Oryctolagus cuniculus: one gene and its partner. The protein of the gene in region 1 purifies or fractionates together with the protein of each later gene. This does not show direct contact. Links are inferred from orthologs where the notes say so. Each region holds a gene or a part of one and is shown on either strand. Other genes may lie near its edges.

Region 1 (5,170 bases):
GTCAGCAATCTCCATGCTACTCATGGGTCACTAATACCACTATGAACCTCAAGAATAAAGCTTATTTGAAAATATGCTTTCCCCACCTTCCTGTATCTTAATTCTGATCATCTGTGGTCCACTTCTTATGTCAGGCTACAAATCCTTTACCAAACTGCTTTAGAAGAAATCTGTTAGAAATGGTGTTCTCACTTACATCAGGAAACCACTTTTTACGTTTTCTTAGGACCCTAGAAACCAGTGCTGTTTTACTAAAACTTCAAGTAATTTGGGAAACCAAAATTTAATGATTCTAACAAATTTACTTGTAGCTACACAATTTTATATGCAACATTTCATCCCTTAAGATTACAGAATTTTGCTTTCTAAACTAAATTACATGTCAACAGTTCTAACCAGCAGGGCTAACAGCCCTCCATAGCTTAAAACAAACAGGTGGGAAAAAATCCCTAACCCATGGAGTTTTAAAATTCCAGCCAATTCTAATTAGAAAAACCTGGAACACATTTGACAGGTCCAGTGTTGACAAGAAGACACAGGTTTCTCATTAAACTTTGTTTTAATGGGTCTCAAAATTCTGTGACAGATTTTTGGTCAAGTTGTTTCCATTAAAAAGTACTGATTTTAAAAACTAATAACTTAAAACTGCCACGCACAAAAAAAATGGTCCACAAAACATTCTCCTTTCCTTCTGAAGGTTTTACGATGCATTGTTATCATTAACCAGTCTTTTACTATTAAACTTAAATGGCCAATTGAGACAAACAGTTCTGAGACCGTTCTTCCACCACTGATTAAGACTGGGGTGGCAGGTATTAGGGGTAATATTCATTTAGCCTTCTGAGCTTTCTGGGCAGACTTGGTGACCTTGCCAGCTCCAGCAGCCTTCTTGTCCACTGCTTTGATCACACCCACAGCAACCGTCTGTCTCATATCACGGACAGCGAAACGACCTATTAAAACAAGTATTGAGTTGCCATGAGACACATAGTTCACAGAAGCAATTGTTAATCTTTAGTACAACTTGTAATAGCAATAAAAAAAAAAATCCTTACCCAGAGGAGGATAGTCAGAGAAGCTCTCAACACACATGGGCTTGCCGGGAACCATATCAACAATGGCAGCATCACCAGATTTCAAGAATTTAGGGCCATCTTCCAACTTCTTTCCAGAACGACGATCAATCTTTTCCTTCAGCTCAGCAAACTTGCAAGCAATGTGAGCTGTGTGACAATCCAGTACAGGGGCATACCCAGCACTGATCTGACCTGGATGGTTCAGGATGATCACCTGGGAAAAAAAGGATATGCATTTTAGTGCTTCTCAAACTGAACTGTGGTAACAGCTAGAAATGCTAACTCCCCTGATGTGATAACACTTCATACATGCATCAGATTGCTTACCCCCTTGAGTATGCATGAACATTGTCAATTAACAGATCATTTTAAATTGTTACCTGAGCAGTGAAGCCAGCTGCTTCCATTGGTGGGTCATTTTTGCTGTCACCAGCAACGTTGCCACGACGAACATCTTTGACAGACACGTTCTTGACATTGAAGCCCACATTGTCCCCAGGAAGAGCTTCACTCAAAGCTTCATGGTGCATTTCGACGGACTTGACTTCAGTTGTGACATTGACTGGAGCAAAAGTTACCACCATGCCAGGTTTGAGAACACCAGTCTCCACTCGGCCCACAGGGACAGTGCCAATACCTAAAATATTTGCAGATTACCAAAGAGTTATTGAGGGCCAAAGATTTTTCACCTGTTCCAATTCAAGTTATATTCTGATGTTACATTAATACCCAACTTACCACCAATTTTGTAGACATCCTGTAGGGGCAGACGCAGAGGCTTGTCAGTTGGTCTAGTTGGTGGAAGGATGCAGTCCAGGGCTTCAAGCAGTGTGGTTCCACTGGCATTGCCATCTTTGCGGGTGACTTTCCATCCCTTGAACCACGGCATCTGAAACACAAGAGAACAATTAATTCTATCACATCACCACTTCCAGCTCTTTAACAAGCACTGTCTTGAAAGTCACTTACATTAGCACTTGGCTCCAGCATGTTGTCACCGTTCCAACCAGAAATTGGCACAAATGCTACTGTGTCAGGGTTGTAGCCAATTTTCTTAATGTAGGTGCTGACTTCCTTAACGATTTCCTCGTATCTCTTCTGGCTGTAGGGTGGCTCAGTGGAATCCATCTTGTTAACACCAACAATTAGCTGTTTCACACCCAGCGTGTAAGCCAGAAGGGCATGCTCACGGGTCTGCCCGTTCTTGGAGATACCAGCTTCAAATTCCCCGACACCAGCAGCAACAATCAGGACGGCACAGTCAGCCTTTAAAGAAATCAAGGACACACACTGTGAACGAAGGTACCTCAAACCTAAGGAGGAACTCACCCACCCCCCGCCTAGAAAACCTTATGTCTACAGTTACTAGTTGCACAAACCTGAGATGTGCCTGTAATCATGTTTTTGATGAAGTCTCTGTGTCCTGGGGCATCAATGATAGTCACGTAATACTTGCTGGTCTCAAATTTCCACAGGGAGATGTCGATGGTGATACCACGCTCACGCTCGGCTTTCAGTTTATCCAAGACCCAGGCATACTTGAAGGAGCCCTTTCCCATCTGTAATTACACAGAGCACTCAGACGGTTACTAAGACACAGCAAAGCTTGAAACCCCATGCCCCCCTCCGCTTGGGAATGCATTCCGCTTCCCAAACTGCTGGGCCTAGGTGGCTCTCCAGTCGATATGGTGGCTCGTGATTTTAACATTCACATTCAGACAACTAATCACTGTTGTCTTTTATAGTCATAGCACTCTCATTTTAGTGGCCAGACTTAATGTAATTCAGCATCTTTCCCTTGCGATACTGGACATACCTCGGCAGCCTCCTTCTCAAATTTTTCAATGGTTCTTTTGTCGATGCCACCACATTTGTAGATCAGATGGCCAGTGGTGGTGGACTTGCCCGAATCTACGTGGCCAATGACGACGATGTTGATGTGAGTCTTTTCCTTTCCCATTTTGGCTTTGATTTAGCGGTGGTTTTCACGACACCTAAAATGGAAAAAGGGGGGGAACCTTTGAACCACTGTCCGAGGGTTGAGACTAAGCCACGTTCAAAACTCAAAAGGGCAAATTCCAAGGAGAATTACATCCAATGCCAAGCTGGCCTAACTCTTCAGTCTCCACCCACCGAGTGAGTTAACTCCATCGCCTAAAAAATCTCCGCCCCCAGCCGAGCCAAGCCGAACTCCAAAGGCCACACGAAGAAGCCAGGTGCCCAGACGGCGCCCTGTACCCCGTGGGGTCGCAGGAAGCGGCGGCCGAAGAGGGGAAGGCTCTTTTCCTTTGTGTGGGTGACTCACCCGCCCGCTCTCCCGGGCCACCGCGTCCTCCATTTTGAGCTCCCTGCAGCGGGGACGGCGAGCGGCCATCTTTTTCCGCGCACGCAACTGGTGCCGAGCGGGCCGGGCTCCGCCGCCCGGGGTGGGGCGGCCGCGGCCCCACCGAGCCGCCCGCCCCACGACCCTCGCCTCTCCCCTCGCCCGGCCTGGGCAGGCGCGGCGCCGTCGGGCCTCGCCCAGGCCGCGCCCGACATGTGCGCCCGGACGGGCGGGCCCCGCCGCTCGCTGTCCCTACGCCGCGCGGCCGCCCTGCCACCCCCTCGGGCCGGACGACGAACGCGCGGGGTAGCCCGCCCGGCCTCGGCGGGCCCATCTCGACGAACAAAAAAAGAGCCGTACCGATCCACGTAAAAACTCAAAGGGCCGAAGGGCCCCGCGAGCGAGGCTAGCCAGGCCGGCGCGAAGGCGAGAGGACTCGCACGCGGCGGCCACGCCAGGCCTCAACTCCAGCACGAGGAAGAGGCTCCTGGAAAACGCGCAAACCTCCAACCCTCCCGCCCCGTTACAGCCCGAAATTCGGAGCCAGGAACCTCGTCAAGAGGCTCAGTGGCATGGCAGTGTCCCCGAGCACGCGAGGGCCCCAGCCCGCTCAAGGCCAGACCCGCGGAAGCCACACCCGACACTCACCTGTGTTCTGGCGGCAAACCCGTTGCGAAAAAGAACGTCCAGGGCGACTACGGCACTTATATACGGTTCTCCCCCACCCTCGGGAAGAGGGCGGAGTCAGCACACGACACCGCTTTCCCAGTTTGCCCCGCGCCACCTCCACTAGGCACCGGTTCAATCGCCGTCCCCTCCCCCAACGCCTCGGGGACCGTGGGCGATGTGCGCTCCGACCACTGACGAGCACACAGCGCCTCGCGCATGCTCGCCTCGGTCCCGGTGACGACGAGCGCGAGGGGTAGGGGGCGGGGACGCGGCGATCTCTCGGTTCTAGGGTAACGGGAGTTTAGCGACGGTCCCTGGGCTTCCCCGAGACTGAGGCGAGTCCTCTTTTGTATGAATTACTCTGGGCTCTGGCGGCGAGAGGTGGGGGGAGGGCGGCGGCGAGGGCACCTCCGGGGTCTTCCACTCTCCCCGCTGCACCGCAGAGGTATCGAGGTTCGGGGTGTCTTCCCGCCCAGTCCTCAGCCTTGGCGCCTCGCTGGTCTGAGAGGAAGCCCCGGAGCCTCTTCCTCTGTGGATCACGGCCGGGTCCTGCTGCTCCCTCGCCTCTGCCTTCTGCGCCCCTCCGGTCGGGAGAGGCGTGCAAGGCCCCGGGACTCGGGGCAGCGCGGGGCTAAGGGCTCGGGGAGCGAGAAGCCGGGAGGGGCTCTGCCCGATGGCCGCGAGCACCACGCATCTGCTCCTGGGCTCGTTCCACCAAAGCCTGTCGCCTTTCTGGACGCCCGTGATACAAGTCGCCGCCTGGGGTTCTCCAGATGTTGGGTGTTTCAGTTTAGAACAGACTTCAGTCCTACCGTTAGCTGTACTTCTAATCCTGGTTTTGTTGGGCTAAGACTCTGGAAGAGAGTTCGTGGTCCCATTTTTTTCATCGTGTGCTGTCACTCGACTGCAAGCCCGAGAGGCCATGCTTCGCATTCAGCCTTCCCACATGATCTCGCAGCGACTGAGATCTACAGCATCAGCAAGCTTCTCCCAGCTTCCTATTTCCAACACTTGCTGCGAAGCCACTGCTCTGAAAGCCCCCCTCCCCCATTGAAGTACATGTCTTCCTTTTCTGTTGGCCTGTTGATCGTAACTGTTATTG
Region 2 (3,308 bases), on another chromosome or scaffold:
TCGCCGCGCCGGCCTGCGCCCGCCCCGGGGGCGGCCCTCATCGCTCATGGGTCACCACTTCCTTCCGCATCCCGCCCACCGCACCCAGATGCGACGCTACGATTGGCTGACCGGCTCATCTTCCATGACCTCATTGGCTAGAACGGATGCTAGTCAACCTGACGGAAAGCTGACTTCCGGCACCCGGAACGCGGCCTTCCTGCCTCTCCGGAGCCGGGTGCTGGAGCCGTGCCTCCCGCCCCCGCGGACCCCGCGGACCCCGCGGACCCCGCGGACCCCGCGGAGGGCGACTCCACGGCGCAGACCCGGGCGGCCGCCGGGGCGGCTTCAGTGCGCGCAGCAAGCCCCCCCTCGGTGAAATGGCTCCCTCATGCTAAGTGCGCAAAGGTGCAAATGACGTCAGCCAGCGTCACGGGGCCCCCGGTGGACCCCTGGACGGACCGCCTGGCTCCTGCCTTGGGGAGAAATCCGGCGGATGAAACTCTAACCCACGACCTCATCTGCAAACACGTGACTTCAGCTCCCGTCTCTGGGTCTCTCCCCCACGGGTGGCGGCGGCCGTTTCTTATGTCCACTTAGCCGTTTTATTACCAACGGAGACAGTCTCCTGCCCACGGGTCCACTCCCCGAACGCCCCAACAGCCAGGGCCAAGGCCAGAGCTGGAGCCAGGGCTGGGTGTGGGCCTCTGACACGTGGGTGTCCCGGCCGGCAGGGCCTCCCGGGGCTGGGGCGGGCGTCACAAGCCTGCCCCCGACGCCCACCAGGTCACTGCCCCGTCCACTGCGGGCCAGGAGCCCGGGCTCGGCGCCACCGCCGGCTCTGCTGAGGGAGCCCCCACCCCCGGAGGTCTGAGGACAGGGACCTGGCCGCCCCCACCCTCCCCGCCCCCAGTCAGGACAGAGTCCGTGCTCCCAGGGCCCTCCCAGGGCAGCGTGGGAGATGCCGCTCCTGGCCGTTCCTGCGGGTGCACCCTGGGGACAGCACCTGGCTGGTGGCCAGCGCCTCAGGGAGCCCAGGGCCCCTCCGCTTCCTTCCCGGCCGCACCCGTCCAGCCCCCTGCACCGGGCACCAGGCTTCCCGGGACCCTGGGCGTTCCAGGGCAGAGCGGCGCCAGCGCGGCGTCGGCCGAGCGAGAGGACGGAGCCCGGGCGCTGTGCATGGTCACCACTCCATTTATTCCTCCACGGCGCGCGCTGCAGGACGCGGCCCGCCTGCCCCTCCCGGCTCCGGGGAGACGAGCTGCGGGCGCCGCCCCCAACCTCTCGGCGCGACCCTCCTGGAACCCTGCACGTCCACGGTCCCGGAAGAAACGAAACGGGTCGGGCGCCCCCCGCGGCCCCTCGGCCGAGTCCCTGCGCAGAGGGCGCGCTGCCGCCCCGAGTCCGGAATAAATACGGGAGCCCGGAGCGCGGGGGCGGGCCGGCGGGGGCGGGGCGCCGGCGGGGCGGGCGGCCGGGCCCTACAACTTGTCCAGGAAGTTGTCCAGCGCCGGGATGCCCTCCTTCAGGCCCTTGCGCTTGCGCGTCTCGGCCACCACCTGGCTGGGGCGGCTGCTGTTGTCGAAGGGGTCGCCGGGCAGGATCTGCCAGTGGTCGAACACGCACTGCGGGAAGGCCTGGCCGCCCGTGTTGGAGCGCAGGTCGGCGGTGAAGCCTGGGGCGGAGGCAGGCGGGTCAGCAGGCCGGAGCTGCGGGCAGCGTCCCCTCGCGCCGGACAGTGCCCGCCGGGCCCGCGACGCTTGCCGCCCTCAGCCCGCCCCGCGCCAGGGCTCACCGAAGGACTCGTTGACGGGCAGGTAGGCCTTGACCACGAACATGGGCGTGCCGGCCACCTGCGACTCCTCGAACACGTGGCCGCGCTTCCGGTTCAGCACCCCGTAGATGCCCCCGACCACCTGCTCAGGGCACTGCGGGGAGAGGGGCCCGGGTTGCGGCGGGGGCGGGGGGCGGGGCGGGCGCGGGGCGGGGGCGGGGCAGGGGCGGGGCGGGGGGCGGGGCGCCGGCCTCACCTGGATCTCCACCAGGTAGATGGGCTCCATGAGGCGGGGCTGCGCGGTGAGCACGCTGGCGTAGAGGCAGCGCCGGGCCGTGGGGATGATCTGGCCGCCCCCGCGGTGGATGGCGTCGGCGTGCAGCGTCACGTCGTGCACGTCGAAGCGCACGCCCCGCATGTTCTCCTCGCACAGCGCGCCCTGGGGGAGGGGCGGGTCAGGGCGGCGCCGCTCTCCCCGCCCCCGGCCCCGCTCTCCCCGCCCCCCGGCCCCGCTCTCCCCGCCCCCCGGCCCCGCTCTCCCCGCCCCCCAGCCCCGCTCTCCCCGCCCCCGGCCCCCGCCCGGCCCCGCCCGCCTCACCTCCTTGGTGGCCCACTGGAAGCCGGCCACCACGCTGTCCTTGATCTCGTTGAGGTACTGCACCCCCTTGGTGATGTCGGTGAGGATGTTGGGGCCGGTGCCGTCGGGCCCGAAGCACCAGATCTTGCGGGCCTCGGCCACGTCCCACTCGTACTTCTCGGCCAGGTAGCGGGCCCGCTGCTTGAGCTCCTGGCGCGCGGACACCTCGCCCTTGTCGATGTCCTCGGCCAGGCCGTCGGGGAAGGGGCGCGCCTTCATGTACAGCCGGTTGTGCTTGTTGGGGGACTTGGAGAGGCACATCACGCTGGACTCCTCGCTCACCGTCTCGCGGTAGGACACCACCGGGTCGGATTTCTGCAGGCAGGCCGGCGGTCAGGCGCTGTGGGGCGGGGGGGGGACAGGGGCGGGGGGGACAGGGCAGGGGGGACAGGGGCGGGCAAGGACAGGGCAGGGGGGAGGACAGGGGCGGGGAGGACAGGGCGGGGGGGACAGGGGCGGGGGAGGACAGGGGCGGGGGGGACAGGGGCGGGGAGGACAGGGCGGGGGAGGACAGGGGCGGGGGAGGACAGGGGCAGGGGAGGACAGGGCGGGGGGGGGACAGGGGCGGGGGAGGACAGGGGTGGGGGAGGACAGGGCAGGGGGGACAGGGGCGGGGAGGACAGGGCGGGGGAGGACAGGGGCGGGGGGGGGACAGGGGTGGGGGAGGGCAGGGCGGGGGGGGGGACAGGGGCGGGGGAGGACAGGGGCGGGCATGGACAGGGCAGGGAGGACGGGGCGCGGCCCCGCACCTTGATGGGGATGCAGGCGTGGTCCTCCTCCAGGTCCTTGAGGCAGATCTCCAGGTGCAGCTCGCCGGCGCCCGCGATGATGTGCTCACCCGACTCCTCGATGATGCACTGCGGGCAGGGGCTCGGCACGTCAGCCGGCCCGGAGCCCCCTCCCCGCTCAGCCAGCCCG

What was found. Proteins that work in one complex are often made in the same cells at the same time.
Region 2: the proteins of EEF1A1 (region 1) and EEF2 fractionate together in Homo sapiens (co-fractionation; 3 studies listed by BioGRID). This does not show direct contact. The link is inferred for Oryctolagus cuniculus from reciprocal best matches to the Homo sapiens genes EEF1A1 and EEF2.

Annotation. Positions count from the first base shown.
Region 1 is NC_091436.1:99,027,009-99,032,178, reverse strand, and holds EEF1A1 (elongation factor 1-alpha 1), read right to left. Parts: upstream 3,065-5,170; 5' UTR 3,037-3,064; coding exon 2,893-3,036; intron 2,636-2,892; coding exon 2,456-2,635; intron 2,343-2,455; coding exon 2,046-2,342; intron 1,966-2,045; coding exon 1,815-1,965; intron 1,714-1,814; coding exon 1,457-1,713; intron 1,291-1,456; coding exon 1,056-1,290; intron 954-1,055; coding exon 829-953; 3' UTR 544-828; downstream 1-543. UniProt on the Homo sapiens protein: Translation elongation factor that catalyzes the GTP-dependent binding of aminoacyl-tRNA (aa-tRNA) to the A-site of ribosomes during the elongation phase of protein synthesis.
Region 2 is NC_091447.1:59,310,340-59,313,647, reverse strand, and holds the end of EEF2 (elongation factor 2), read right to left. Parts: intron 3,248-3,308; coding exon 3,140-3,247; intron 2,706-3,139; coding exon 2,352-2,705; intron 2,193-2,351; coding exon 2,010-2,192; intron 1,908-2,009; coding exon 1,775-1,907; intron 1,655-1,774; coding exon 1,461-1,654; 3' UTR 1,158-1,460; downstream 1-1,157. UniProt on the Homo sapiens protein: Catalyzes the GTP-dependent ribosomal translocation step during translation elongation.